Linked DNA regions of Schizosaccharomyces pombe. The protein of the gene in region 1 interacts with the protein of each later gene in a biochemical or structural test. Each region holds a gene or a part of one and is shown in the gene's direction. Other genes may lie near its edges.

Region 1 (14,822 bases):
GATGTAATCATAAATGCTCATTCGTTCACCTATAGCGCACTCCATTGTTGCTCTTTTTGAATTTTGCAAGACTCATGTTGCGGTTTATTATAAGATAAGTAGGTCTTCACTTAGTTCTTCGTAAGTAGGTACTCATTATGTATCATAAAGAAAAAGACTTTAGTGTTAATCTGGTAAAATTTTACATGTTTGATATGTAGACATGCTTTCATGCAAGACGGGGTGAATATTGATCGCAAAAAGGAGACTTTTTGGACCTCATCGCAACTTGCAATTAAACTTGTACTTTAGCGAGACCGCCGTTCTACTTAGCTTAGCTTGTCCCAAACGGGTGTGTCTATGAGAACGCCCATCAACTGGAGTAAACGTACTGAATTAATTAGTGTGTTACTAGTCGGCATCTGTCAAAACCGCAAGCTTCAAATATGCTTATAACAGCTTTCTAATTTTAAGATCAAAGTTAACGATCCTCTTTATCCTTAAAAAAAAAAAAAGAATACAAAAGTCAATCTACATATTAACTGTGCTTTCCACTTATCTTCTACTTCTTTTACTTAACATTGGATAAGCATTGAAGCGTATTTAAGCTTATTTTACAGCTAGAAAAAAGTTCATCGTTCGAAATCATAATATTTTATTATGCTGTTCATTATTTTGTAAACATTAAATTTGTTTGAATTGAACCATTAAACAAAAGTAAAAAAAATAATTAAGCTTGATTCATTAAGAATTAAGATGAAGGAGAAATGAATGCAATAAACGAAAATGAAGTTGTGAATACAACAAGGAGGAACAGCGAGTTTTCCAATTTCATTAGTTGACGATAACAGTCAATTAGTGAACTGCTATTTTAAAACGAATAAATAAAACCATTATTTTAATATTCAATTCCCAGCGTATGTTATTCACGGAGCCTTTCAAGCAATGCACTTGCTCATCCAATTCGTCAGGAAATGAAATATGCAATAAAAATACATGTGATATAGTCTAAACATATCATGATTTGTTTGGTAAATCACATTTATATAGATGCTTCTTTCCATTGCACATTCTTGTAGAATTTATAGTAAAGTTAGCAATATAATTAGGCTTCATTTTCAGGGTTCATCTCATGCAATGGAATAGCTGTGTATTCATTCACGTGTTGTCTGGCATCACGTTCTAAAAATAATTAGTGAACAAATTTAAAGTACACTTCTTTTTATCATCAAATTTACCATAAAGTGCTAGTGTTCTTTTCACCAAATCTGTAGAGCAAGATCCCGGTTCCACTATATCGTTAGTATTAATTATGTTTAGTAAACAACAAACCTGTTTCAGCAATGAATATGAGAATGCTTGATACAGCCATGAAAGTGAAAGCGGATGCCGAGCATTTCCATCCCCATTGTTGATCACCTAAATGTGAACTCAATTTGTTTTCAGCTTTTAATAAAACCAAGCAAAATAAAGAACTTTTACAAAAAGCAAAAATCATGTTTCTCCACTTTTTCAAAAAGTGCTTGACTGCCTTGGTCCAAGTTTCATAGAAGTCTAATGAGTTAGTGAATGAACGTAAAATTAGTCCTATTGTCTCACTTACAAGTCAAGATTATTAAAACCAAAGTGCAAACAAGACACCAAAATCCAAATAATGTCCATTCCGCTGCGCCATAAGTCTCAAAAAAAGCGTCCTTATACTTTAGATAACAAATTGCGAGTACATTCAGTACATAGATTGGTGTGAATGATATTAGTAGTTTAATCAAAAAAGGGGAAGAATCATCTGTCGTCCCGGAAGAATGGTTTTCTCTATGTGCGTTAGGAGGATTGCTTACACGTGCGTGATCTGTTTAAATTAATATAATGAAAGACTTTAGTAAAGAAAGAACATGTTTTAAAATGTGTGCATTGCATGGCCGACTGTAAACAATGACCAAAGCATGCAATTTGACAAGATGGCAAGTTTCAACTTTCAATTGAGTAATTCCTTTCTTATTATTTACAATTCTTACCTAAATATGGAGGCAATGTACTTTCCTCCTCTGAATCATATTCTGGGAGTGGTCCTTTTTCCAAATCGATTTCATAATCTGTCTTCAGTTCATCTTCTTCATCTATAGGACTTTTCAAGGAAGTGTAATTATTCTTCGTTTCAAAGCAAACTGTTTTTTCAATAATAGCAAGTGAAAAGTAAAATTCCAAAACTCATTTTCAAAATGTAATTGCTTCTGACACATTTATTTTGTCACTGCCCTTCTTATTCACCCCAACTTAGATTTCCTTATGCATCATTAAGAAACTCAACATAAAACCAGTATATACGTTTACTGCGTTATTACATACTCACTATTGCAATATGTCTTTAGGTTATTACGATAACAAATCATCGTTCTGAGTCACAATATTTTATTATGCTATTCATTATTTCGTAAACATTGAAATTTGTTTGTATTAAAGTAAACCATTAAACAAATGGAAAAAATGATAATTAAGCTTGATTCATTAAGAATCAAGATGAAGGAGAAATGAATGCAATAAACGAAAATGAAATTGTGAATTTAACAAGGCGGAACAACGAGTTTTCCGATTTCATTAGTTGATTTTAAGTTGTCGTAAACAAGTTAAACCATTATTGTTTGTGTCTTGGGTTCCATTAAAAAAGACACATAATTAGACTCGCATCATAATAAATAAGAGATTCGAATCTCAATGCATATTATCCAGATTATCCAACATCGCGAACCATTTTAAGCGATGCATTGGTTTGACAATTTTTGGTAATTGAAAGAATAAGTTAAGCATACATTCCATAAACTTATAAAGAAAGAGGATAATTAAAGAATGTTAGTGCTTATTTTTTAAAAAGCCGCAGCTTCTCTGCGTTGGTGATTGTCGTAAAGAGGTTTTCCAACTGGAGCGACAACTACAATAATAAAGCAATTAGACTTCGCTTTCGGCCTCCGTTTCTTCCAAGGGAATGTTATTATTATTATCGTTGGCACCTCTAAACGCATTTCCTATCCGCCCAATTGCATTTCCTATCCCTCCAAATGCATTTCCTATACCTTCTAATCGGGTAAGTAAAGAATCATTCATACAGTTGGTTGAATACACATACCTAGGAAAGAAGCTATACCATTCCTGATAAATTTGGGCATCCTTTTGAGAGCACCTGGACATTCTGATACGGTTAGAATAAATTACAGAAATATTAAACAAACCCATTTCGTAAAAGAAAAGAAAATTTCCTATAACAAAGAGTGAAGAGGCTTCAATTTCGTAGCCTGTCGCGTCGATATGTTTATCAAATAAATACATCAAACCTTTCGTTACAATAACGACACAACTTTGTACACCCAGCACTTGAAACAAACCAAAAAGCATATGCTTGAGTGTCCAAATTGGAATACAAACTGTATGTTAGCGTTTAGCAAGATAATTTCACTTACCAAGCAATAAAATGAAAAATAAAGCAGCCGAAATACTGCATGTGGAACAGATGAGTGCCTTATTTAAGTTTAGTCTACCATCCTTGACGCAACCAAAGAGTATAAAACAAATGACTACCCATGCGAGCCAGATTGTAACCACCAAATCTTTTTTTGAGTTATACAAACCGACCGCAATTACCTTTACACATTTTGCCAAGAAAACTGCAGTCACCTTTACACATTGTGCCAAGAAAATTACAGTCACCTTTACACATTGTGCCAAGAAAATTACAGTCACCTTTATACATTGTGCCACTGCCTGGGTCCAAGTTTCAAAGAAGCCTAATGAGTTAGTGAATGGACGTATTAACAACTTCATGCATAGCTTACAGAAAGTAGCAATAAACAATATTGGACATGTTATACCAATTGTGACGGAGAAAGCTACCTTGCCGAATATCGACTTCTCCAACGGGTTTACACAAACCCATGCAGTAAAAAAGACAACACTAACTGCAAGAACTGATATTAGTAGTCTCAGAAGGAAATATATATTTGGATGTGAATCTTTGAATTCTTGTCTTCTTTCGACATTGGGATTCGCAATTTCTGTAGGTCCTGTACTTGAATCCTCAGGTACAGGATTAGCAAGTTTCGAAATGTCTGCATTTATAGTTAGCCTAAAGCGTAATATTTAAAGAATGAGTAAAATGTATATCTCAATTATGAATGATTTATCTTGAGTTGATAACATGAGTAAATACAATGTGCGCATGTTTGAAAATGATCAAGTGTTGGATATGCCAACTGTAAACAATGATCACATCCAAATTATTTTACAGCAATAGAAAGTTACAACTTTCAATTGAATAATTCCTTTCTTATTATTTACAATTCTTACCTGAATATAGAGGCAGTGTGCCCTCTTCCTCTGAATTATATTCTGGAAGTAGCCCTTTTTCCAAATCGATTTCATGATCTGTCTTCAGTTCATCTTCTTCATCTAGAGGACTTTTCAAGGAAGTGTAATTATTCTTCATTTCATCAAGATCATTCTTTATTTAATAAAACACATGCGCGAATTAATTGCTGTGATTGCGACAAACGAAACAGCGAAATCAAGAATATTCGCTCTGTAGTCCAATTCCAATCGCTTTAAAGACTTTTTAACAAAATAATAAAATTGTTCAAACAAATTTCCAACTAATTCCTTCAAACAATGGCATAAAAAAAGAAGAACGAAAAAACTGAACGAGGCAGTGAATTGCTTCTGACACATTTATTTTGTCACTGCCCTTTTTATTCACCCCAACTTAGCTTTCCTTAAACGTTTTTGAGAAGCAAACGTTGTAGTATAATATAATGTCAGCTACGCAGTTTGGTATCTGGTTTAACGAAACATAGCACTGCGGTGAAATTTCCTTGTGACCTATGATATTACGATACACAGGTAGTAGGTATTGTACTATTAAGTTGTATTGTTACCTATCACAAATACAGCTTACAATTGTGTGAGGAGTGAGGTTCAGTTGGGATTCTAATTATATTGTTCAAATAATATAGATCTTAATGCTATTTCCATCAAAATTTATCTCAATATCGTATCATCGGTAATACAATATACCAAAAGAACATGTGACATATAGTGATACGTAACGAATCCTATTATAACGTAGAATAGCGTCAAACTTTAGGGAAGCGTAACATGTTGCAGTATTGTAAGTAACGTGTAAAGCATTATTGGTTTTGCTAAATGTATCACAGTATTTTGCGGTATTTGTGTTGGTCGTGCTTACACGCATAACGCAGCGTTTACCCTTTACTTAGCACCATATCATTGTGTGTGGTTTATTACTAGGAGTCTCAAAAAATGGTAAGAAGGTCTCATGCTATCGTGTTGATTTTAACAAAGGGTAGGTCGTCCTGGCAGTAAGTATTGTGAATCGTGGGGGAAAAGGTATGAAAAGTAGTTTAGCTATTAACAAGGACTTGAGGCTTACAGTAAATTTGTTTAGCCATCATCTCGAGACAATTTCGTGAGATGTCTCGTGTAAGAGTAGAAAGCCTTTTGTCTTCCTTCCCCGCTCTCGTTTCGGAAAAGTCTCAAAATACCACGGTGGAGTCTGACAACGTCAGGTTCGTATACCAACCGTTGGACGAACTGTATATCGTGTTGATCACCAATTTACAATCTAATATTTTGCAAGACATTGATACATTACATCTCCTCTCTCAAGTGGTAACATCGATTTGTTCGTCGCTTGAAGAACGAGAGATTCTGGAATATGCATTTGAAATCTTTACTGCGTTTGACGAAGCTACCAGCCTTGGCTACAGAGACAATGTATCTTTGACACAGATCAAAACTTATTTGGAAATGGAGAGTCACGAAGAGAAAATTCAAGAAATTGTATCAAGAGTACGTGTTGAAGCATAGGGGTGGAGTCATCGAAATTTTTTTTGTATGGTTTTACTAATGCACTTTCTAGAACAAAGAAATTGAAGCAACTGAAGAAAGGAAGCGCCGCATCAAACAACTTGAATTACAAAAGAAAGAAGCTGCAAGACGGGCGGCTCAGAATCTTCCCAGTGCAGATGCGTATGAATCCATTGGGTATCAAACAGTTAATACAACCTTTGCTACGTCTAATGTTGAAGACGAATCTGCCATGGAGTCTTATCACGCTGCAGCAAAGGCTTCTTCTGCTCCCAAAGCGAAAGGAATGCAACTTGGAAAGAAGAAGAATACTAGCTTGTTATATTAATTTACTATTCCAGCGCCCTTTATGATCATTGCATCCGTTTTGGTTCGTTTCCCCTTTGTAATGTGCTTTTCCTACGATCATATGCGATAACTAGAAATAATAATCATTTTTCTATCCCAAATTAAACATCGTAATCAAGAGTCGACCATTACCAACTGTAATAGAACACTTTGTTCCTTTCATACCCTCCAGAATACTTCCTAGTCTATCCAATCGAAAAAAGCAGAGCAAACCTATATTGATTCATCACTCAACTAATATACCCGCTACCCTTTAGGAATGCTTCCTCTTGTTTCTAGGTAAACAATATTAGAACAGAGAAATCGTCATATAATATAACCCATTTATTCAAGTATATAATCTGGTTAAGACTTTTAACCCATCGTTCTATAAACCTCGTCAACAACAACAAAAAACCAAATTAGAAATCTATTTAAAAAGTAAAGCAGATTGGCAAACAAAGAAAAAGCATTCTATTTTTGAAAATAAAGTGTCCGATGAGAAAAGCGTGAAATTCTAATGAGAGTAAACCAGCAAAGCGAGGTACGATGAACTGGTAATGAAAAATAAAAAAAGGTAATAATTAATTGCTTTAGCATTCAATAATTAACAACAAAGTCAAAATTCCTCCAACAGAATTCTCAATAATAGAAAGACATGCGGCAACGGCGGAAGGATAAAAGGGCGTAACGAATAAATGGAGAAACCTAAAAGAAATTAAAAAAAAAAAATAAAAATATAATGAATATATGACCATGACCCTGGGATGCTATTAAAATTTATAAAATTGACCACGCTGAAGGATTTTAAATGTGACTGAAAGAGAACTTTTGGAAGACAACGACTCTAACTGCTCCAATATAACATCGGCAGGATTCGCCGACTGAAGAGGATGTGATTTCAAATGAGTGAGCAAACACGTAAGGGTAGGCATGATAACGCCATAACTCTGGACCAGAGATTGGAGTATACAAAGCTCGTTCACTAGATGTCTAGGGCAAAAATGACCAAACAAAAGAGTATCAGGGATGTCAGGAGTGGAGCATTCGATAAGAATATGAGAAAGCTTTCTTTGAGCAATTAAACTAGAGCAAGCTCTCCAAATATGAATGTTAAGCGGTTCTGAGGCTACCATATCGGGTTCGACGTCCCCGAAAGCCAAAAAGTATCTGTCGGATAGGTTATTCCTAAATAAAAATGCAGACGACTTTAGCTCTTGACCGAAAGAGGAGCCATGATTAACGGGAAAGGGCAATATAGACAAAGTAGTCGTTAAACTAGTATACATGGAAGGCTCAACCCTAAAAAGAGGTTAGTCTCATTGTCAAATGAGAAAGAGAAATGCCGATGGGGTTGATTTAGCAAATTCGCATAAGAGTTAAATTCATTAACTTGTTTGAACAAGAACAAAAGATATTAGAACAGTGAAAGAAAAAGAGATATAATTATTATTGCAATCTTTGCAATCTTTCAAATAATATCACTGTCTCACAAAAAAAATTGCACAAGTACCATGAAACCATGCAAATCAACCAAAGCGTCAGCAGATAGTTTACATATATGCAAAATATATAAATGTGTGTTCAGCAAATAGATTTGAAGGAAAAAAAGACGAGCATACATCTCTTCAACTAAGATGAAGAAAATAAAAAATTTTCAAAACTCAACATTGCCTTCCCAACCCTCAACCTATTCACTAAAACAATGAAAAAATTTTCATTTGACAGAAGCTATTGAGAAAGAATTTACTTACACCTGAAAATTAATAAATCCGGCTTTGTCGAGGGAAGGCCATAATAAGTTATTAAACACGTGCTTTTTTAGGGTATCGATCACATAGTTTAACCCAACTATGGTTCTAGGATTTTGAGGACCAAACATGGCGCTATTGATGACGGCTCCATAGATGTGGTCTAAATGACAGTGTGTGATGAGAAACGTTTTAATCCTTTGCTCTGAAAGGTGCCAGGCTTTTGCGTATGATTCATTTTCCACCGTATAATTGTCATACTTGGTGATGGAAGACCAAGAATCGACGGACAGGTGTTTTGACTGGATCAACTCAACCAACGCCGATAGGTGGCTTCCACCATCCAGCGATATAATTTCTTGAAATGCGCCATCAGAAATCAAATGACTGCTACAGCAAGACTCCAATGGACCCCCCTAATAAGTCAGCATGGCTCTCAATGCATAATGTTTGAATTCTTACATTTTGTCCCTGTTTTCGTTAACGTTAGTCGAAATTCTTCAAAAAAAAAAATATTTTTCGTTTTTCATACCAATGAATATAATGTAAAAGAATTTTCTACGAGTCCTACTACTTGATCGGTTTGAAATTCAGCTTCTTTGATTTCGAGTGCTGCATGCATGGCTAGGCTTATGGAGAGTTACAGATCTCCGGTGCATGCACTAGTCTACAAAAACATGTCGGTTGACGTCATATTTATTACAAGCATACATTTACTACCGTAGATTTAGGGTACGATAAACGATGCTCGAAATGTGGAGAAACTCGGGGTATAGTGTAGTGTGTTAATTATCCTTATTCATGTGCCCGCTTGGTGAAGAAGTATGCTATGAATAAATAAAAGGATGGAAGTCGTTAAGTGGAGAGGAACGAAGTTATGCTTTGCTGCTTTAAGTAAGATATTAAGAAAAAAAATGCGACTTTGATGAAACACGTTTGACATGTATCACTTCCTTATGAGAGCAATTTTTCCGAAGGTTCAATATACACCCTTAAAGAATGTCACGTAACGAGAAGAGAGAGAGCTATTTTTTATATAATTCCAGAGGTTTCCTTTTTTTATCGTTTAACATTTCTGAGGGGAAGTTTTGTTGCTTGTTTAACAATGTCGGCAGAAGTTTATGCCCTTCTCTTTAAGAGACCGACTAGCAAACAATTGTAAACTATCGGACACTAATATGTTTTTTAAAATAATAATTCATTATACATACAAAAAACTGAACCTCGTGTAATATAGATTTCCGTATGAACTTGGTTCTTTATCGGACTTTGAGGATTCGTAAGTCCCAGTCATTTTATCTGATTATGCTAAACTAACTCTTACTTTTTCATAGAGTACTTAGATAGTTCCAGTCAGTGCTGCTGAGAACCAGTTTGCATCAGTTAGGGAGGGTGGTAATCGTTGTAAGAGCTTTCAAAATATGATCTCCTTTTCCTTTATGCAAGATAATCAAAAGAAACATTCCTAAATTACCTATTTGAAGAATCTTTTGTATGTGCCGCTGAAATTGCTTTCCATTGAACTTTTTGTTGGTCTATGGAGAGAAATCATCATAGGTGCATAGCAGCCTTTAGGTAGATATTTTAATTAGCAATATATCCCAATTTTCCCTTTGATAATGATCGGTCTTTTTTCAATTAAGTCTATACCTAAAGGCATATTGGAAACTTGCTATAAAAGTTTGAAATAGAAACAATTCTCAGAATATTACTTGAATACGTTCTCTGTTTTACTCCCTTTTTTTTTTACTCACAAAGAATGTCACACTGCAGTATCGAATTGCTTTATTTGTTCCTTTGGAATAAAAAGGTAGATTTCCTTTTATTACAGCAAAAGATAACAAGACTAATAATTAAGCGGCTTTGTTTTTACCAGGAATTGCATTTTATGACACTACGCAAAATTAGAAATGTAAAAAAGCGCTTTCGAAAATTTCCTTTTACACTTTCATTATCAGGATTGACAACCCTATGAATTCCTCCGTTAAAACTTCTCACCAGCGGAATTCGATGAAGGTTGATGTTAACAGTATAGACTCAATAGCAACATTATACGAAAAATCATAATAAATTGTGAATAACCTTTTATTAATTGAGCGAATAAACATAGAGTAAATTTAATTAAGATTAATAATTATAACTAATTTTGAAGAAATTATTATAAAGAAAATAAATACATTGAACATCAACACATCCCCTTCAATTCATATACAAAGTGCATTTCTCGATTTTAGGACTAACTTGAAACACAACGCACAAACATTTCCACAACTTGATCTTTGGTTTTGGCGTGAAGGTTGTTAGTGCTAAGCTATACATTACTCCTTATACTTCATCGGTAGCAGGCATGGAGTGCATTTGATAAGCTTGATTGTTGGATGATGATGGACTGAAAACATTACCAGCCGCATCATACGAGGTACCATCAAAATTTATTGGAGGTGACCTATTTTTCGATTTGTCGGGTCTATTTGTATCGCCCTGCGTTGTTGTACCCGCTGAAGACTCACTAGCTGCATCCCAACTAATAGTTGGCTGCGATGTAGAATACGACGGAGGAGGAGCCAAGCTTCCAACCGCAGGAGCGAGTCTCCATTTCTTGATGTTTGCTTCAATAAATACATATCCTGCTTGTCCAAGATTGACATGTAAGGTACAAGGTCCAATTGCACCAACCGTAGGATACAAATTTCGATATGTACACGGCAGTTCTGCACACCGACGACCGTTACGTGTAAAGAAGATCCGATTGCACTTCGGTTTGTAACCAACACCAATTACATCTCCCTGCTGGTAGAAAGAGGAGTACGGTTTTCCCGTAAATGGTGAATTACTGCGGCGTGTTCCATCCGACACATAAGCAGTAGACCAAAAATTCCAACCAGGCAATCGAAACGGCGGATATGGCTTGGTAGCCAGACCGATGGAAACCAAGGTATCAATAGGTACGTCTAAAAGTTTTACTTCAAAATAGTATACTTCATTGATCCTCTGCAAAGGCAAATTGGTTTGCATGCAACATTCTTCGTTGCCCAAAAAAGACAATTCAGTTTTATTTTTAACATAGCAATTATATTCCTGATTTGGGATAAAGTGCCATGCTAATACGCCCTTCTCTTGAACTTGTAGGAAGTCAAGCAGCTTTGCATCCGTGTTGACGTTAGATTTCATGGAATTCAACTCAAACTCACGAGCTTGTAAATACCGTTCTTTCCCCATATCATCCAATAAACTAAATCCTTCTTCATCAATATGTTCATTCTCTAACGCTTCGTCGTCCAACTCACCAGGATTGGTGTTTTTCAGCAAGATCCGTCCATGTCGTGTGTATCGCAGTAATAAGATGACTGACAAAAGACAGATTAAAAGAACAATGACAGCGGCTAATGCAATAAATATGAAAAGGATTGCTAAATTAGGATGGGTGTTTGAAGATTCCTGTAATCTCAACTGGCGAATCTGATCGGGATGCATGACTCAAAGACGCAAAAAATAATTTTTTATATAAGATTTGAAAAAGGAAAATCTGCGAGTGTATATTTAATAGAGAAATAAATAACTGAGAGTAAAATCCTAGCTATAAGAGGATATAGTATAGGGTTAAGAGAAAAAGGATTTTTCTCTCAGATATGCAGTTTATTAAGCACGAGATACAATATTTAAATCTAACGTAGATGCAAGTATCTCAAATATTGCACTAATATGGTTTTTGCGAATGCTCAAGGATTGGGCGAAATGGTATACTTGTTTCAAGTTTACAGGAGAAAATACAAACTCCTTTAAATAAATAAGATATAATTCTTAAGATAAAAAAGAATTTATTCCTGAAGGAGCCACAATGGCCTGTTGTAAGGTAAAATCGAAAATCAGCGGCAATTTACCAGATAATACTGCTCCGTCACAATTATGCTTATAAGTTTTCTGTTTTTACAACCATAGATTGGAATTAACCAAATTTTTATTCGAAAATTTACTTTGATTCGTTCAATGTTTGCTTCCGGATTTCAGATGGTAATGGGAAAAGGAAGGTTACGAAGCACCACGTAAAGGCCACATGGATACTACTCCGTCCATTAACCAACAACACCTACCATGTCAGGGTCTCGAAAACAAGAAGCAATAGACGAATTAAGGAACTCTCTTGATGTTCCTGCTGATACTGCTCAATCTGTTTTGGAATCATTTAATTGGGACGTTCAGGTATGTGACACGGCAAGCATTCATTTTCAGTATTCGATAGTGATCAATTGCTTTGATTGAAAAATTCCAAGAAAGTTGTTATTTGCAACTGAACATTCATGGAATCCTCTGGTTGTCGTTTATTTTTCTAATCGAATTTTCGGTGAATGTTGGGACTGAGCCATTTTGCTAACTGTTTTATGATTAGGAAGCGATCGAGAGTTTAACTGGAGAATCGTCAAGAGTCGATAGAAATTCAAAGCTTGGATTAAGTTTCGGCGTCTTTCAATCTGTTTTTTCTTTGCTATTCAGTGGGTTGCACAAACTATGGATGATTTTGTCAAGGGTTCCTCTGATTTCAACATTTATCCCCATTTTTGGTACTACTAAGCGTGTCCTTTCTCCTGCAGACACTGCGAACAAGCTGGTTCAGAATTTAGAAGAGCAATACGGTACTGAGCATATTGATTTTTTTACTGATGGCGGCTACATGGAAGCGTTGACACGTATTAAGCGTAATTATGGAGTCGCATTGCTTTTCTTTACTAGCTCAAAGAATGATGACTCTGAGACGTTTTCCAGGAGTGTTCTTATGAACCAAGAGCTAAAGGAATTTTTAAATCGTCGAAACATTCTTTGCTGGACTGGTGATGTTTGTGAGGATGAGGCTTTCCGAGGTTCTCGTCAATTCCACTGCACTAAATTTCCCTCCGCAGTCCTTGTTATGTATTCACCTCAGCTATCTGAGCTTGTAGTTGCCGCCCAACTCCATGGATGTCTTGATAGTTCCAGCATCATTACCAATCTAACTAATGCTTTGGCTAAACATCTTCCTTCTCTTGAGCGTTTCCGTTCGGAGAGAGAAGCACGAGAAGCTGCTCGCGAGTTACGACGTCAACAAGACAATGCCTATCAAGCGTCCCTTGCCCGCGATCGCGAGCGTCAAGCTTTCGCGAGAGCAGAAGAAGAGCGTCTTGCAAAGGAGAAAGAAGAAAGAGAAATCGTTCAGAAAAAGAAAAAACAATATCGTGCTTGGCTTGCTTCTAATCTTCCACCGGAGCCATCATCTGAAGATGAACCTGCTCGTCTTTCGATCCGTTTTCCCGACGGATCTCGGGCTGTTCGAAGGTTTAAGAAGGATGATACTGTTGAATCCGTTTACAACTATGTGGATTATATGCTTTTTGAAAAAGAGGAGCCTGAAGAATTCGGTCGCGCTACTTCATCTTCTAATCCGGTCACTCCACCAAGTGACTATAAGCATGATTTTCATTTTCAACTATATTCTTCTTTGCCCAGAGCTTTGCTGAAACCATCAGTGGCTATTTCTACTAACAAAGCCATCTTTCCAAATGGCACTGTGGTGGTGGAGCTGGATGATTGAAATTAACAAAATTGTTTGTCTTTTTAAATCATAATGACAATTTACGACTATCGACGTTTCGAATCCGTTTTTAAATACATTTCTAAGATTTGATGTATGATGAATTTATTTTCTCTTTTCTATTTCTACTACTGAATTAATTGTTGTTTATGGCATGAATGTCTACTGGACGCATTGACTTTTTATTTTGAGCAAACTTTCAATGCACCCTTTAATCTGAGTACATAGTCGATTTCCACTAGATTTTCTGTTCTTTGCCAAAAACCTTTTCTATGCATGTCATCTTCATCTCTGTTTTCTACGATTTTCTTTGCAATGGAGGACAAAGGCTAGTAATTTAGGCTTTGTAGCATAAAAGTTTTGCCAGCTTTCGTCTGTGATGAGTGAGGTATGTATTATGAACATAAATTTGTTTAAAATATAAATCTTTCTTTATTGCAATTCGAAAAAGTCTAGTGGCTTTGTTTCTAAACAGCTTAAATTTTACCTTTAAACTTTCATTAATGTTAAATTTTTATATAATTAATATACAAATTAGTGCATTAGATTCACTTTATGTCAAGCATTATGACCCCAAGCATGGAATTTCTCAACGTTTCTAACAAAATTGGAAAAGTAAAGCGGTGAAATTATTTCCTTTCAGACTGAGCAAGTTTATTTTACATTCCTTTCTGTAGCGTGTTTTATATTCCATTTACTGCTATGTCTTAAGTCATTCAAATTGAACCATATAAGGATACGTTCGATCACGTTACAATCATCGTAAAAAGGAGAATCGTCAAGTTGAACCTGTACTTTATTCTTTTCTGGGCAATAGCTGATAATTTACCTGGTTATTCTAGATACAAAGAATGTCCAGTCTTCAAAAACGCCCTGGCCCAGGTAACTCTAGTCAACCGACGTAAGTCTAGCAGGAACGAGCAGCATCATGAGTTTTGCTAACTTTCTTAAATAGTGAAAGACCAAGAAAAGAATCTATCCTTGATCTTTCTAGATATCAAGATCAACGAATTCAAGCCACGTTTACGGGGGGCCGACAAATTACCGGTATTCTAAAAGGATTCGATCAGTTGATGAACCTTGTACTTGACGATGTAGAGGAACAGCTTCGCAATCCTGAGGATGGTAAACTTACTGGAGCTATTAGAAAGTTAGGTCTTGTAGTCGTTCGTGGAACAACTTTAGTTTTGATTGCTCCCATGGATGGTTCTGAGGAGATACCGAATCCATTCGTCCAAGCTGAATAAAAAGCCACAAGCCCTTCATTTGATGTTTGACTATTGTTAATAAAATACTACAAGTTAATTATTATACCGCATGTGCATGTTTTG
Region 2 (17,782 bases), on another chromosome or scaffold:
GGCTTCTTTTGGTGAACTATCGTTTCTCAGCGAAATTTCGAATATTCATAAATCGAATAAAAAGCATGAAATTCAGAGTGCTGGCACGGTTGCTTTGGATAACGGAGTTGAATCTCCTTATTATATATGTGTTCAAGTGGAAAATCAGGGAATTGAAGTTTATCATATGAAGGATGAACGCTTATTCGCTTCATGTCCTCTACCTGAGAAGACACGGTTTTCCTGCTCACCCATCTACATTAAAGAAGGAAATTGGCATTATATTTGGACCTGCACCTCTCTTAAAAGTAATGGGGAATGGAAAATACTTCTTTGGAAGTTCAACGACCTCGAGGAGGAAAGCGAAGTTGTATATCGTGATATTTCCAACCAACAAATATTTGCTCTTCATTTCATCTCGTCAACTGGTCAACTAGTGATTGTATTTCGAAACGGAAAAATTGCGTTTCTCGATCCCGAAGATGACAAAGTTCACATGAGTGCCTCCGTTAACGAATCAGCCACATTGCTTCAATCAATGTATGTTCCTTCACAAGCAAATCCTATTGATGCTGTACGATTAGCATCTAACGAAGCAAGTGGCACTAATAATAATCCAAAGGAAATCGAGATGAACAGCGACACAACTTCTTCAGTACCAAAGTCAGGGTCTACCAGTTTTAGCGCTAATGTCACCTCATCCACATCCATGGTATATTTATTGTATAGTGTACATGTCGACAAAATTATACAATATTATGTAGATTCTTTTTCAGTTTCTGAAAGACGTCTCGTGAATACGAGAGCTGTGGTTCTAAAGGAAGTTCAGGCTCCTTCGCACATTCTGATGTCTAAAGACTCTACAAGTATATATACGATTTCCCTCGAAGGGCTATCCATATACTCACTTCATGATGAGTCCAAATCTTATATGCTTATTAAAATTCTTCATTTCCAAAGCATATCGAAAATTGAACACATAGAGCTTATTTCGGATAATTTTTTGTTAATTCAACATGATAGTCAACTATCTTTATGGGACATAACATTCGGAACTATTCAAGATGTTTACGATTTGAAACAGAAACCCACGATTCTCACTTTTACCTGTTATAAGTCGTCTTTAAAAAAAATGAATCAAAACTCCCAATTAACTGGATACATTGCTGTATTATTAAAGAAGGGACTGGCCATTGTACCATATACATTGCCGATAAAAATGCTTCTTGCCGATGCAGTTGGTAAACGTACTTCAAAAATCGGAAAGCTACGCGGAACCAATGAACTCATCGGCGAAGGAGTTTTAACAAAATCTAAAAATGGTCCTTCGATGCGTGACCAACTATTGAAAAATATACAGTTGCAAGATCATTCACTTCGTGATGAATTAATTTCCTTGCGTTCCTTAGCTGAACAAAAAAATACCATAGAGTTTGATGCTAAGTTCCTAGGTGTTGTCGAACGATACCAGAATCAGTATGCCAACAATTGCAAAATTCTTAAAACAAGCAGTGTGCTTCCTATTCCATTTGCTCATGCAATTGAAAGTCTCTTGTTTTCCCTTGATGAGGAAAATGAGCTTCAGGTCAGTTGTGCAGCTTCAGGGACACTCAATTACTTAATACGACACCGATTATTTAGCTACTCAACTCTGGTACAAAAAGGTTTCTCGGGCTCCGTGTTTGATTGTTTGTATAAATTTCAAAAAGACATTGCCTTTAATTTCCTGGAAAGAACTTCTGATATTTCAGCCTATGAAATAGCTTGCGCAATTAAAACAGCTATCAATTCCTCCAAGGTTAAGTTGTTAAGAAGTGCTTTAGCGAGGTTATCTTTGTTTGATAGCACGACATCCCGAGAAGCGTTGCTTTTAGCTTTTGTTCCCGAGGATTTTGATTCACTCTTTAAAACCTTGGGCAACCTAGTAGTAGACTCTAACCTTGCATCTGTTAAGTTTAATTTGGAAACGTACATTTACTGTTTGTCTGTTGTTCTCGATGCAATGGGTGTTGGAGGCGTTGCATCGAGTTCTGAAAACTTAGAGGCTGCGAGGATTCTCTACAATGATTTACAGGAAAAGCTAACGAATTTAACAGCTATGTCGCTTGTTCTCCCTGCAATTTCCGAAATTGTTAAGCGTAAAAAAGACGTACATGCTGAACGAGTGCAGTTCTACGCCAATCCACAACCTAAAGCAATTGTGGATGACATGGGTGATCTTGCGACTTTACTGAAAAAAGATTTTCTTTCCGAAAAAAGAAAAGGTAAAAGCCAACGTGCCCGTGGTAAAGAAATTGACATGGCTATTGGAAAATATACAGTTGAACGTTTAGAAATATAATTAGAAAAACAGGTTTATTTGTGAAATACATATAGGGGTTATTTTTTTGGAATAAAAATCTATCAAAAATTAATTTAAATAATGTTTGTACATAAAGGGACAGTATACCACATTCAAAGATATTTCAGACCTTGTTTTCAACTGCAAAGCTATATCAACTAAAAGTTTGATAAAACAAAAGACTGGTAAAGATCACTTTTAATTAGACAGATTTCGTTCAAACAAAAAACCAAAAGTTGCAGAGATCGTGGTTATAATTCATTAAATATTTTGACAGAGAGTTGAGTAAATGAATATGTCGTTAAAACCAAAAGCAAGGGAAAAGGTAGCAATACTTAAATGACACAAAAATTCGGGAAAATAAACATGATAAAGGAGTGTGGGTAAAATCAGAGTAAAAAAAAAAAGAAAGAGATGGTAAAGCATTAAAAATCAGCGATCGATGTATTCCAAAATAGGATCTCCAACGTTTTTTATTTCAGGAATAGTACATTTTAAGTCAAACACCTTAGCCAAAACAATTTTGAATATCTAAAAATCGTCAATATAGTATATCAACTGATATTATACCTTTTGCACATTAATAGAGTGTGAAGTAGAACAAAATACCAAGCTTGCCTTCATGGCCTTTGCATAACGACGTGCCTAACCAAGTTAATAATACGACTTCTAGTAATTTTTGTACCTGTTTGGTAATCTCTTCTTGATCTTCACGAGGAAATGTCATGAAATGATCGTATTTTGTTCCAATCAATATAGGGACAGCGGTCTGAAAGCGTTAGTAACTAAGTTAGAGATATACTGAGTACGATAAAAAGTAATCTAATGAAGTTTAGCCACGAACAGAGGTTATCGGTTCTAAAAACAAAATCAAAACAACCCGGACGTGCATAAACGTATATCGGAACGAAAGAACTCATACCTTATTGAAACCGCGAGCTTGACGATACCATTCTTTGATAGAATTTAATGTGGATTTCCTTGAAAGATCGAACATAAAGAGAATTGCAACGGCATCGTTACAAACCATCGGTAGCATGTTTACAAATTCTCGCTGACCTCCAAGGTCCCAAATTGAAAAGGTAATTTCAGTGTTTCGAATGCTTATTGTTTTCTCCATAAAATTCACTCCTAAGTTTGTTAAGTTAGAAATCTCCCAATAAAGGTAAATATTTACCAAGCGTTTGTGTGCTTTCCTCATCAAATGAGCCCTGAACATAAGTTACCATAAGAGATGTTTTGCCAATTGAACTATCTCCAATCATTCCGACTTTTATCGTGACGTTATTTTTTCTAGCATCTGCCATTCTTTAAAACTCCTATCCTCTGATATTACTCTGCTTGAACCCCGGCAGTAGATGAACAATTTCCCTTTGCATAGGATAAGAAGCCTCGTTCGTGTTATAATATATATATTGGCTTATTATGAATAGCGTATTATGACATAGCTTGCTACGTCGTGTTACGTTGACTTGTACATATATTTTTTTAAGCAATGGAAAGAATGCTGGTAATATATTAGTTTGTAAATTAAAACGAGAAAAGATCTTTATTTATAATAAGTAATTATAAAAAAGCTAGTTATTATAACTGGTGGGTTTACAGTAAATTGTAGTTTTGATTATTTGCTATCGATAATGTAAAATTCCATAACTGTTTGTGCTAATTATTGAGCCAAATGAGATGCGTTGTTAATTGCTCTTGGAATTATTCGTAATTCTTGTACTCATAAGTTTGTTCGGGACTATTTTTTCTGGGTTTTACTCGCATTGCAACGGAATTCGGGTTCTTACCAGGGATTGTGGTACCGAGCCGCCAGGTGTTTATGAAGCCATAATATGATAAAGGTACTAAAATTGTTCATATACTGATAATTAGAAGTTACACTAAGACTGAACGTTAACATGGCAGTGTCATTTTTAAAATGCTTGACGACCAGAACAAGCCAGTAATAATTAATATATTAAGTCAACCAAATGCCTCTAAACATTATCATAATTAACAATATGACAAATATGGTCAGCATTTATTTTTCTGTTTCATTTTGCACACCTTAGCTTTTACTGTTTAATGCGTCAACTGGATTCATCTGAAATTAATGAATATATCAGTTGAGAAGCGCATTGTAGGTTTCAACATTGAAATATTGTAGGTAATCAAATGCCAGTAAAAATTCAAAGGGAATTTCCAACATTATATTCAAATTCAAGTTTTAATTGTAGTTTTGATTTCGTTCTTTATTCCCTCATATTCCAAGGAGTAAGGACCCTTTTGAACTTGACTTTCGAATTCAGAAATTACAGGATTGTCGCACTTCAACTTCATTGTAAACAAAACTCTCAAAGCAGAACGAACCAAATCAAGGATATTATCGCTATCTGTCTTTAAAGTCTTTTCAGTTTTTCTAAGCTCTATAATTTTTCGTAATGCTTCCAAAATAGTGTCTACTTGCTCGTCTATAATTGAAGGGCTGCAGTCGACAAGTTTTTCCAAGATTGACAAAGATACTAGCTTAATATAATGTTCATCTTCTAACCCCATGACAGAAACCTGTAAAAAATGGGTTAAATGATTCAAAGATTCAGGGATATCCAGTAAGGAATAAAGTGTTTCAAATACTAGCTGCCGTTGATTTATTGAATTATCAACCACATGTTGGAAAGGGCCCATTTGTACAACATGAACGTTACTAGAATCAACTGATGATTTGGAAATTAAGCCTTGTAAAAGTTCATTATAAACGTCTGCAATGCAAGAACGCCTATTTTTTATCACAGATATTATGACCTGCAACGTTTCTTGACTAACTTCGAGGTCTGGATTTTGAAATAGCTTATACGCCTTTTCAAAAAATTGTTTCTCATAAGCTTTCAGTTTAGGACAGTCCAATGTCAACGAAAAACGAAACACCGAAAGAGATAAAAGCATATGATTTGAAGCTTCACTGGAGGATAAAAGTTCTAGCTTATAATATAAGCTAGAAGATTCATTACAAATTAAAAGACCAAGACATTCAGATAAAAGAGTTCTGAAGGGAGAAGTGGAAAAGTCTTTAATGTTTTCAATGTCCTTAGAAAGGATATCCCATATTTTATCTGCTGTTTCATAATCGATTTTTGATTTCTTAAGAAAAGTTAAAAAGGAAATTAATAAAAGTTCTTTATCATAAGCATCTGAGACGTATAAAGCACATAATTCTTTTATGAATTTTTCACTTTGACTAGTAAGCGACCCTAAGGCAATAGCTGCTGCTTTCATAACATCTGCATTCGGCGAGTTTAAATTACTTGCAATCGTATCAAAGTACTCATTTGCAGGAAGTGTTAGCTTCCCGTAATCAAGCTGTCCAAAAATTAAAGTTGTGAAAACTTTTATCCGTACTTCTGATTTAGGACTCATAAAACTTTTATTCAGAGACGTAACAATGGCCTTTGATTGAAAAATACAAATCAGTTGTGCAGCAATCAATGCCAATGTAACCATTTCTTCAACAGGTTTTTGTGCACAAGTGAAAGAATTAATAATCAACTCCAAATCTTCTTCTTTCGAAATAACAGCAATAATTCTGCTTAGCAAACAAACGGACTCTTCGTTCAAATGTATGGTTGATGATTGCAGATGAGAAATTATAGTGTCTATTAGTAAATTTTTTGATTTCAAAAGGATACTCAAAGGTATGATTAGCAAACATTTTAAAATTGCAACCGTATTCTCAGTGTTTCTTTTAAGAGTCTCGATCAGTAAACCTAAGATATGTTCAAGCAAGCTTTCAGCGAGATATTTTTGTCCAACTTTCAAGAGCACTTCTAATAGTTCCAAATAAGCAGTCGTAAATTCATTGCCACTTTTGTCGATATGCCTACAGCAATCCTGGAGTATTTCTTCATAAATTTTTGTTCCATTTTCTATCTTAGTAATATCTGTAACGGACATGAAAATATCACATAACGCTCTTGCAGCAGCACTTCTAGTGGGCTCTTCCTGTAATTTTTTACATAAAATAATTAAGACACGTCTCAGGAATATAGAATCAAAATCAGGCTCATAGAAAAGAATTACGTATTGAGAGACCAGATCTATCAAAGCTAAACGAACTTTCAAGTCAGAAATTTTAGATTCCAAAAGTTGAAGTGAAGAATCAATCATTGTGGAAAAATCTGTTGAGACGTTAGTGGGTTGCTTTTTATGAATATATTTGCAAAATGACAGCTCAGTAATTAAGGCCTCGTATGAAAGTTGTGGGTAGTTGTTTTGTACCGCTAAACTTAATATAGTTGACATTTTAGATTCCATGTTTTCTATCTCTTCGCAGCCGCAAGAAATGATAGCTGATATTAAGCGAACTAAATTCAGCTTAATTTTTATATCAAGGGTTGAAAAATCAGGAAAACGGTATATAATTGAGCTCAGATTTGAAAATTCGGACTGAACACCAAGATCTCTTGAAGAAAAAATCACTGTAACTAGGTTCAGTAATTCAGATACAATGGAAAGTGGAGTTTTATCAGATAACTTAGAGACATGCTTTCCAATTACAGACACTAAATAAATAGAAGTATCCGATATTGCTGAACGGTCCGATGGTAACCCTTCATAACGACGCTTTCTATCATTAGAAGTTGCATACACCTCTATCCAACGAGGAACATGCAAGAATGCTTGTTTTAATACTTCGATAGAAATCAAGCAAACAGATTCCTCTCTATCGTTTAACTTACTAACCACAGAAGTCCCTAGTGCTTGAAGGACTATAGGCAAATACTCTAAACGTGACAAAATTACAGACAAAACGACTTTCAAAGATTCTCTTCTAACAATCCAAGATACATCTTCTTCATCTTCGTAAATGCTGCTATAGTCACTCATTTCTTCGAGAAAGTCAGCGATATCATCTTCATCATTAGTATCAGATATTAAATTGGGATCATAAGAAATTTTAGAGATTAAGAGACCATGTAATTCTGGCCAAATTTTCAAAATATTCACTTGTTGGTACTCTAATAACAATCCTAAAACCTCCAACAATTTTTGCGTTAACTCATCTGGGGCTTCTTCCTTCTTTAATAACGATAATATTTTATTGGTGTAGTCAGCAACTGCTGTTGAGATGAATGATGTAGATGAATCTTTTTCTTTTTTAGATGACAGAAGTATTTCGTTAAGCAATTTAATAGAAATATTTACCTCGGACATTTGGGTCGAGGGTCCCAAACCTCGATCAAGCACCTCAATTATATATTTGTATGCAAAGCGAGGCCCATAAAGTGATACGTCAGAAAGGAGATAGCAAGCCTTTTTAATAATTAATTCTCTTTGGCATTGTGTCGTACATTTTTGGAATACGTCTATACACAATTCAAAATTGTTAGGTAGAAGAGTCGAAAGATTAGAATGGTATATTTCTAGAGAATCACAGACCACACAGAGAATTGCAAAAAATTCCTCTTGAGCAACGTTGTACTGTTTTAAAATTTGTAAAAATGAAGGGAATACAGTCGAAGTATAAAATTTGTTTACGAAAGGTTGGACGTTCGAGTTGGACAAAAGCAAACTGAGAGCAGACAAGTAATTTTTCGATTTCTTCCCAGCAACTCCAGAAAGCAAATTTTCAACAGTAGATTTTAACTTATCTTGTGGAATTTTGCTAGAAATTATAGCAACACAACGAACTGCCTCTTGTTGAACCTCTGGCGAAGCATCACTCAGTGCTTGTAATAAAACATCGAGTGTATCAGGAAAGCTCTCCAATTTGAGATTTTTCAAATGGTTTGCATCATTAAGTCGGGCAGCTAAATCGCTGAGTGCCATGTAACGTATGTCTTTATCGCTACCTGCAACAGTTAGAGCTAGTTTTTTATTTTTAACATACTTTCAACGTATTTTTTTAATAAAATTCCCTCCTCCATTTTACAATTGATTAATTTTTATGGCCACTAAGGTAGGGATTCAGCAGTTTGTACAATGAGCCTGACAGCGTGTATCATAAAGGATTCCACACCATAAGCCATATAACGAACAGTAAGTATGGATATTTAAAACACATTAAATTCCTTATTAAAGATTGAACTAATTTTATTATTGATTGTGCAATACAATCAATAACCATAAAAGAAGAATATTTGATTAGCCTTAACTTACTGCTAAACACTTTTACAAAACGCTTTCTAGAAAATTGATGTTTATAGTTATAATGATAAATAATATTGCAAGGGTTTCAAACTAAAATATTTAGCTTACTAAACCGCCAACCAAGTTTCATTTCAATTGAAAACGGATAACACTCAAAATGTTTATTTTATGCTTAGTAATGAAGTTTTAAGCACATTTAGATATAGGGCGGTCGTTCGAATTTTTGCATTTCTGTAGTTTAAAATTTCCTCGTAGATTTTACTAGAAAATTGTTTACTATTGATGTTCTTGGAACATTCTAATAGCAACGACGTTTCCTTGGTAAAAGAAGAATAGATAAATTAAATTTGGCAATTTATACAATACGTGTTTTCTAGAGATGCGTTAAATAAAAACAATCTAGCGAAAATAATGGAAATTGGTAGTAACGACCTTGCGAGGCAGCTATGTAGCAGAAAGACTCAACTGCTTACAGATGTTATTATACAGAAAAAAAACAATTAGAAGAATATTTAGAAATAATTTACCTTTTTGAGCAATAATTTCATGTATCTTTATAAATTGAATGCTCATATATAAGCGCATGGTGCATGGTCGAATGAACGCACCATCCACCATGACCGATAAGAAACCAGAAGTGGAACACCTTCAGGGTGAAAACCCTCCAAAAGAGTATGTTTTCGATGTAGCAGTAACTTTTTTTTAGAATTCGATGCTAACAAGCTCAGTACATATAGTGCAGAAGACACAGCAACAGCTATTCTTCGTAAAAAAAGAAAACCAAATTCTCTAGTGGTCGATGACGCTACCAACGATGATAACTCAGTAATCACATTGTCGTCCAATACCATGGAGACTTTACAACTTTTCCGTGGTGACACAGTTGTCGTTAAAGGAAAGAGACGGAAAGACACTGTCTTGATTGTTTTAACTGACGAAGAAATGGAAGATGGCGTAGCAAGAATTAATCGTGTTGTTCGTAACAACTTGCGCGTAAGGTTAGGCGATATTGTAACGATCAATCCTTGTCCAGATATTAAATATGCTGAACGAATTTCAGTACTACCCTTGGCTGATACCGTCGAGGGTCTTACTGGTTCTCTCTTTGATGTTTACCTTAAGCCGTACTTTGTTGAAGCGTATCGTCCTATTCGAAAGGGCGATCTTTTCGTTGTACGGGGTAGTATGCGTCAAGTTGAATTTAAAGTTGTTGATGTTGCTCCTGATGAATTTGGCATTGTTAGCCAGGATACAATTATTCATTGGGAAGGTGAACCCATTAATCGTGAGGATGAAGAAAGTAGCTTGGCAGAAGTTGGCTATGACGATATCGGTGGTTGTCGTCGCCAGATGGCTCAAATCCGTGAGCTTGTCGAGCTTCCCCTCCGTCATCCCCAATTATTCAAAAGTATAGGTATCAAGCCACCTCGTGGTATCCTTATGTATGGTCCTCCAGGTACCGGTAAAACTTTAATGGCTCGCGCAGTTGCTAATGAAACGGGCGCTTTCTTTTTCCTGATTAATGGTCCTGAGATTATGTCAAAAATGGCAGGCGAATCTGAGTCTAATTTGCGGAAGGCGTTTGAAGAAGCCGAAAAAAATTCCCCTGCTATTATTTTTATTGATGAGATAGATTCTATTGCTCCCAAGCGTGAAAAAACGAATGGTGAAGTTGAACGACGTGTTGTTTCACAATTATTGACTTTAATGGATGGTATGAAAGCTCGTAGTAATGTTGTAGTAATGGCCGCTACCAATCGTCCTAACTCTATCGATCCGGCATTGAGACGTTTTGGTCGTTTTGATCGTGAAGTCGATGTTGGTATTCCTGATCCCACCGGCCGCTTAGAGATCCTTCGTATTCACACAAAGAACATGAAGCTTGCTGATGACGTTGATCTTGAGCAAATTGCTGCTGAGACTCATGGTTACGTTGGATCTGATTTGGCATCTTTGTGTTCTGAAGCTGCCATGCAACAGATTCGTGAAAAGATGGATATGATTGACTTGGATGAAGATGAGATTGATGCCGAGGTTTTAGACTCTCTAGGTGTTACAATGGATAACTTCAGATTTGCCCTTGGTTCCAGCAATCCTTCTGCTTTGCGTGAAACCGTTGTGGAAGTTCCCAATGTTCGTTGGGAAGACATTGGTGGATTGGAAGAAGTTAAGCGTGAATTACGTGAAACTGTCCAGATGCCTGTTATGTATGCCGAAAAGTTTTTGCGTTTTGGTGTCACTCCCAGCAAAGGTGTTTTGTTTTTCGGACCCCCTGGTACAGGTAAGACATTGTTGGCGAAAGCCATTGCCAACGAATGTTCTGCCAACTTTATTTCAGTAAAGGGACCCGAATTGCTTAGCATGTGGTTTGGTGAGTCTGAATCAAACGTTCGTGATATATTTGACAAGGCTCGTGCTGCAGCTCCTTGTGTCGTTTTCTTAGATGAGTTGGATTCTATTGCCAAAGCACGTGGCGCTTCTGCTGGTGACTCTGGTGGTGGTGATCGTGTTGTCAACCAACTTCTTACTGAGATGGATGGTGTTAACAGCAAGAAGAATGTATTTGTTATTGGTGCTACCAACCGTCCCGATCAGATTGATCCTGCCTTGATGCGTCCCGGTCGTTTGGATCAATTAATCTACGTTCCCTTACCCGATGAAGAAGCTCGCTTCAGCATTTTGCAAACTCAATTGAGACATACGCCTGTTGCTGAAGATGTTGACTTGCGTGCAGTTGCTAAGGCGACCCATGGCTTCTCAGGTGCTGATTTGGAGTTTGTTGTACAAAGAGCTGTTAAATTGGCCATCAAGGACAGCATTGAAGAAGACATCAAGCGCGAAAATGAGACTGGAGAGGCTCCTGCTGACGATGTTGTTATGGACGAAGATGCATCTGTGTCTCAAGTTCAGCGTCATCATGTGGAGGAGGCCATGAAAATGGCACGCCGCTCTGTCAGTGATGCAGAAGTCCGTCGTTATGAAGCTTATGCCCATCAACTCCTTACCTCGCGTGGTCTTACAGGATTCCAGTTTGATTCGGCTGATAGTAATACTAATGGACCAAGCTTCGGAAATGATGGTGCTGATGATTTGTATGCATAGAAACTACCACCTTAATGCATGAATTCTATATCCGATGATGAACAAAATTTATGTATGAACATGGACTTGCCTTTTTGTTGAAGTCATTTTTGTAAAAGGTGATTGATTGATTGATAATAATGACTTCTCTGCTACTTAACATGAGTTTGTAGGGATTCTTAAATTTAGTCTTTGAATAGAACGAATTTTTTTTTATGAGTAAGAAATTCTTGAACGCCCAAGTCTAGTTTACTACAGCATACTATTATGTTGACTGTTGTGTTTAGTTATAACTTTTCGTCAGTTTTTGCAAGTGTAGAAATGTGCATTTTCACACGATTCACATAACGATCGGCATATAGATAGAAGCCAACCCGGAGATCCAAGTGTTAACCTAAAATGTCGTTATCGAAATAGTAGCATATTTGTATGTGTAGTTATTTTCAAGGTGAACTGCTACTATGCTAGTAGTGTGCTAGCGATGTTAAGTCTCTTCGTGGAGGCAACGCCCCGTTAAATCTACTGGAAGAGCTAAAACTGGGATGTTCCACTATCGACCACAACGAGTGGACGATATCTGCGAGCTCATGGACATGTTGTTCGGCAGATAACCGTAGTTTGACCCTACCCCCACAAAAGTATGTAATGTCGATTCAGAATTTCCACATGGTGCCTTAAGCATCGTTACCTGTGTTACCTGGAAATATTAGGTTATTATAAAATTTGTTTAGTCGCGACAACGACATGCATTAAACTGACAATCCTCCATATACATGAGTGAGATTGAAATTATTTGTTAAGAAAGAGTTTTGACGGATTCAGAAAGTTTGAGTAATTAAAAGTATCAAGGTTTTTACTAGAAGTCAGTGAAAACATTCAAAAACGATTAATCGTCGATATCCGGCTTTTCGCCACTTGACCAGTTAGTAAGCTTAGAAAGGAAAGAGAATCTTTTACACTAGAAGATTTTTACTTCTAAGTTGCAATAACTTCATTTATTCGAATTGTAAAATACGAGTTCACTGCAGAGTTTCAGATCATTGAAGATTATTGCACTAAAATTCGTTTTTAAGTGTTAAAAGCTGATTTGTTCTTTACAATTCGCATAGGATACACTTCATTTATCATTCAATTTTGGTTTTTCCTTTGTGAAATAGGAAAACCGCAAAGCGTTTGTCTGTTATTTTATATTTTTTAGTTTGGATGTATAAAATTGACATCCTTAACCAATCTATCAGACATTTAGTATATATGTTATAGGATTCGTTTTTTGTCCTTCACGTGCCTTGTTTCAGTTATTATTTGACTGTTAATTCTTTCTCCTTTCCTTACATTTCCGATTCTCCTCTTGACGTACATTGTTTCGACAATACGTTTCTTATTTCCTAGTTAGTGTCTAATTCTATTTAAAGTGTGGATGGCGTTTATCTTTTTGAAATTTATTTTCCAGGCTTTTTTTGAAATAGACTCTTCTGAAGTACATTAAGTTTTTCAAGTGTCTTTTCTTGTTTATCTGTGCTATTACTGTGTGCAGGTTCAATCGATTGTTTTTATTCTTTCTCTGTCTATTTTACCGACCTTCTTTCCTTGTTGTTCTTCGCGGTGGCTTTTTGTTTGATTACACTCTTTTTTTATCCCCTTTAAAAAAAAAAAGTTTGGCATCTCAACAGTTCTCCTCATATTTTCCTTCTTCAACTACTTTTCTCATCTCCCTGTTGTCCTTAAGAAATATTTAACATATTCTGTTGCTTTGCTATTAACGTTATTTGGTAAAATTATTTGGCAGATTATATCTTGCTTATTTTTGCCTACCTGTATTTCTCTGACAAGTCAATTTTGATTTATTTAGCTATTTCTTTTTTCTGACTTGTTGATAACTAATTTAGGATCTTGCATTTCATTTTCGAAAATTATTTTGCGGTTTTCGTTTTTAGTCTTTTTGAATCCTGATTGCAATCACTTTCAAGCTTTATTTCCCTTCATATCTTTTATTTTAACAACATATTCTTCTTTTGAAAAATAAGAAAATAATTGTTTAATTTGAAAACTTGTTTTATCATGACGCGTGAGTCTTTAGCACCGATAGCCTCGAAAGCTAATACTTTATCCGAATCAAAAGTTTCGGAAAACTTGATGTCTATTAATTCCGATTCTGGTACCTCTAATGCTAATACACCCAGCTCTGTTACTTCTAATTCAAAACCTGTGGCTTCTTCTACCGCTGCTAAAAAGGACCCTAATGCCCCACCCCAGAAAGTTAAACAATATGTTTGTGAAACATGTACACGCGCTTTTGCTCGATTGGAGCATCTTAAACGACATATCAGATCTCATACCAACGAAAAGCCTTTTACTTGTAGTGAGATTGATGGTTTACCTACAGGTTGTGGTCGACAGTTTTCGAGGCGTGATCTTCTACTTCGTCACCAACAGAAAATCCATAGGAATCCACAACCTCGAAGAAGACGTCGTTCAACAACGGCTTTACCCAATCCTTCTCTTTCAAATGTTTCGGTAAGCACAACAAATTTAGCTTCTAAACCTGTTATTTCTTTACCTCAGGCAGATTCCATTGACAAATTTCGTTATCCAAAGTTGCATGCCGCACTACAAGCGCAGCTTGCGAACAACTCAGGTTCATTTTCTGCAAGTTGGTTGCAAGCCCAACAACAAAGGCTGGTTTCTGCCGGTAATGGGAGGGAAACGGTAAATGCCTCTGCATCTGGTGCAGTAAATCCTACATCTTCTCAATGGTCAGATCAACGTCTCGGTGTGCCTTATGGACCCGACAGTCCTTTGTACTATCGTAGGGCAACCATTGCCAGCGATTTGAGGCCTTCTGTTTATCAACACCCGCAGCTTTATGACTTTAATAGACCTGAAAGCCTTTCAGGTCAATTAGACGATGAAAGTTTGGCTAGAATGCCGTATTCACCTAACGCCGTTTCACGAAATTACGCTATGAATATGACACTTCCTGAATCTATTCCTGAAGGGTACGAGATTGATAAATTGGATTGGATGAGTTTTAGTGAGTCTTTAAATCTTCCTACTTTCAATCAACCTAGTGGCCCATCTGATGTTTCTGCTTCGTTTCTTAATCTTCAGGCTATGCCTTCTCCTCATGCTTCACCAAAAGATTCTTTGATCAACAAATCAAATAGTTACTTTTTTCAGAATCCTCCTAAGAGTAATTCTGTGGATTATACTCGTCTTGATAATCTCGAACATATGCGTCAGTCTTGCATATCGCCTAGTGGCACTAATTTTTCACCGAGCTGTTATAGCCCTGAATCTTTAATGCAGCAACCATTAACGTTGAGTCCTTCTTCGATCCCTTCTGGATTGCCCACATATGCACATGTTAATTCGCCATTAGGAACAGAGCAATATCCATCTGAAGCTTATCCTCCAAAAGGCTATGTTGATATGGAAGGAAGAATATCAGAAGGCATCAAAGAAGAAGGCATTTCATTATCTGAAGAAATTACCGATAAAGATCAGGCCTTCGCTTCGATGGGATATTTTGACTCTTACAATTTTGAAGGCGTTGAGAATTCAAATTCATTGAACAACGAAGGGGATCAAATGGAGACTAATTTTCAGTCTGAGAAATTAGATAATTCCAATTCAATTCCTTTCTTTAATTTTAATTCATTCAATAACAATGGGGCAAATTGGTCTTCAGACTTTAATTATCCTGTATCCGAAACTTCCGGTTTGCTTACAGATAATAATCGGAATCAACCGCCCTCATTTTAATTTTTTTCATATCTTTATATTTTATACTATTTGTTTCTTAATGAAATGCATCTTTTAGTTTTTTTAAACAAAAATCAACTAGCTTTGATTCGGTTTTTAATTAATTTAAGGATTGATCTGAAGTTTTGAATATTTTGATTTGGGGTTCAATTGTTGATAGGAAAACGATCCTCTTTTACCGAATATTTAATTACGCTAAGATATGCAATGCTGAGAGGTTCACAACACATTAGTTAAGAGGGTTGCTTCTGATATTTTATTATCAAAAAAGGTTCAGCGTGATATGGTTAACAATAGCAACGGAGGCTTTATATTTAAGATGAAAAAAATGGCATTCAAGCACATGTTCCCTTAATTCTCAAGAAAGAATCTACTCGTTCAAACTTTTCCTTAATAATGATAATGATAACATGACTACGTATGTTTAATAATAGAAGAGAATATTTTTTAATGAGATGAAGGAATAATATAGCAAAACTTCTGAAAATAAATTGATACAGCTAATTGAAGATATTGTTGTTTATTGTTTACTGCCCTGAATCTAAAAATTTTGAAAGTCTAATAGGTTATTTATTCAAATGTCAAATAAGGAGTTATTAGCGAAACAAAGTTTGTAACAAATGGTTATTAAGCATTCACTCTGCATGCACTATATTCACTTGATTTAAGTCGTCAAAACTAGCTTTGTGAACAAGGGGGACGGCCCTTAAAAGAACACAAAAATGATTTCGATAAGAAATGCGCTAGCAGAAAAATAATTACTAAAGTAGAAAGACAGTCAATGGTTAGAAACTGGAATGTACGAAAAAGTTAATTTCTGTATTCCCTATAAAGGGAAGGTTCGTTTAGCAAAAGAAGTTGAAGATCACAAAAACATTTTCAAAATCGTAAAAAAAAAGTTCGTAAATATCACGGTTATTAAATATAAATAAAAGAACTATATAGCCTAGTTCAAAGAGGACGTGAAATAAAAGAATTAAGTGAAAGTGTAACAGAGTTACAGCAAGTACAATTGCTAAGTGATATTTATTTGCACCCTAAATGGAAGCCACAAGTAATAACAACGCACAAAGGAGCAAAATAATAAAGCATCTGGGATACTGTTTAGCCTTTCGGCTGACCTTGTTTAATCGATTTTTTGCATGATCAAACCTCCTCTCAATTCGATCAGCATCATTATTCATATTATCTAGTAAAACATTTTGTTCGGACAATTCTGTATTCATTGCATATCCCATCCGCTTTTGCCTTTGGACACTTGCTTCGATCCCTCCTAAAGATTCTTCTTGTTCGTTGAGCATTTGCTGATGCATTTGAGCCAAAACGTTTACGTTTATGGGATCAGGGTCATTGCCATCAACCGGATACATGGCCTCCATCTCAATATCAGATCCCTCACTACTCGAAGTCGTTTTTTGTAAAGAAGGAAGGGGAGTTAACTTATTATTCGTACTTGCAACTTGCGGGTTTGCAGAAAAGGCACTTGTTCCGTCAGCAGGAATTGAGGATGCACGCCGCTGCTTCTCAAACTCTTCCTCAGCAGACTCTAACCTCCTTTGCATTCTAATAAGAAATGCTTCGGATTCTCGTACTCTGTACTCTGGGATTTGTGCATTTTTCTCTAATCGCGATTGCTCCTCATTAAGTTTTTGCAATTCTTGCCGAACATCTTTCAATGAAGACTCAATTTCTTCATCGGGATTCTGTCCAAACTCTTCCAACTTCCTCCTGTCTCTTATTTTTTGTGAAACCGAGTCAATGATCAGAAGCAAATTTGACATAGTCGCTGGTTACTTTCTTGAGTAATCATGTTCATCATGCGCCTAAAAACACAAACATTAGTGAAGTTTACAGTAATACGGTGTAATGCCTTTGCTACCAATTCTAGGTTCAATTACAGTAAATTTTGTTTGCAGCAAAAAAAGAGAATCTTTTCGTATGTTTTAAATAAAAAAAAAAGTAAAAATGATTTGCTCATTAGCTGCCAGATCCATTATAGGCATCCTGTGAAATTATCGTATTATTAGAAACCTACTCGTTATTTACACAATTTTTTGAATGCTTCTTTTCGACTCTTCTGATTGTTTTCGGTATTTATCACAAATTTAGTAGTTCTTATTTCACATCTATTAAAAGGTAATCAAGCAAGGTGTAAGGAAAACTTTTTAATTATTGAAAGTTGGTTTGCGTAGTTTCAAAATTAATCAGATAAATTTATACAGCAAGCCCAGTATAAAAAGGGGCCTAACCAGGATTCGAACCAGGGATCACCTCTAAACTCAGCATACAAGTGGGGATTACCCGAAAGAGGTATGTTAACCACTACACTATTAGGCCTAGGTTTCTCATTACAAAATATTAATATAATATATATATAAAATAATTGCGACATAATAAATGTTAAGTACCTCTTTGCTCTGAAAACTAAAATACCAATAATGACGCTTTTCTTTTCATTAGAAGAGAATGTTTATTAAAGAAATATCTTAA

What was found.
Region 2: the proteins of dsc5 (region 1) and cdc48 form a complex in vitro, tested with the Schizosaccharomyces pombe proteins (one study listed by BioGRID).

The regions. Positions count from the first base shown.
Region 1 is NC_003421.2:1,804,082-1,818,903, forward strand, and holds dsc5 (UBA/UAS domain-containing protein), read left to right. Parts: upstream 1-12,003; 5' UTR 12,004-12,020; coding exon 12,021-12,128; exon of another isoform or gene 12,129-12,315; coding exon 12,316-13,491; 3' UTR 13,492-14,322; downstream 14,323-14,822. Other genes in the region: wtf antidote-like meiotic drive suppressor Wtf18, read right to left, coding at 2,923-3,050, 3,101-3,163, 3,204-3,395, 3,432-3,755, 3,804-4,076, 4,315-4,453; coatomer delta subunit Ret2, read left to right, coding at 5,284-5,286, 5,331-5,370, 5,429-5,832, 5,903-6,178; dual-specifity cAMP/cGMP phosphodiesterase Cgs2, read right to left, coding at 6,951-7,479, 7,932-8,344, 8,391-8,399, 8,461-8,550; SPRY domain membrane protein, specificity factor required for ubiquitination Ear1, read right to left, coding at 10,254-11,402; U6 snRNP-associated protein Lsm7, read left to right, coding at 14,343-14,392, 14,447-14,738. UniProt on the Schizosaccharomyces pombe protein: Involved in protein degradation through the ubiquitin/proteasome pathway.
Region 2 is NC_003424.3:1,297,392-1,315,173, forward strand, and holds cdc48 (AAA family ATPase involved in ubiquitin-mediated protein degradation Cdc48), read left to right. Parts: upstream 1-9,053; 5' UTR 9,054-9,065; coding exon 9,066-9,121; intron 9,122-9,177; coding exon 9,178-11,551; 3' UTR 11,552-11,875; downstream 11,876-17,782. Other genes in the region: protein Utp8, read left to right, coding at 1-2,320; GTPase Spg1, read right to left, coding at 2,753-2,851, 2,891-2,965, 3,006-3,089, 3,243-3,451, 3,498-3,627; knd1 (cullin-associated NEDD8-dissociated protein 1), read right to left, coding at 4,526-8,151, 8,190-8,226; DNA-binding transcription factor, glucose starvation sensing, Rst2, read left to right, coding at 13,589-15,292; fsv1 (SNARE Stx8), read right to left, coding at 16,330-17,073. UniProt on the Schizosaccharomyces pombe protein: ATP-dependent chaperone which probably uses the energy provided by ATP hydrolysis to generate mechanical force to unfold substrate proteins, disassemble protein complexes, and disaggregate protein aggregates.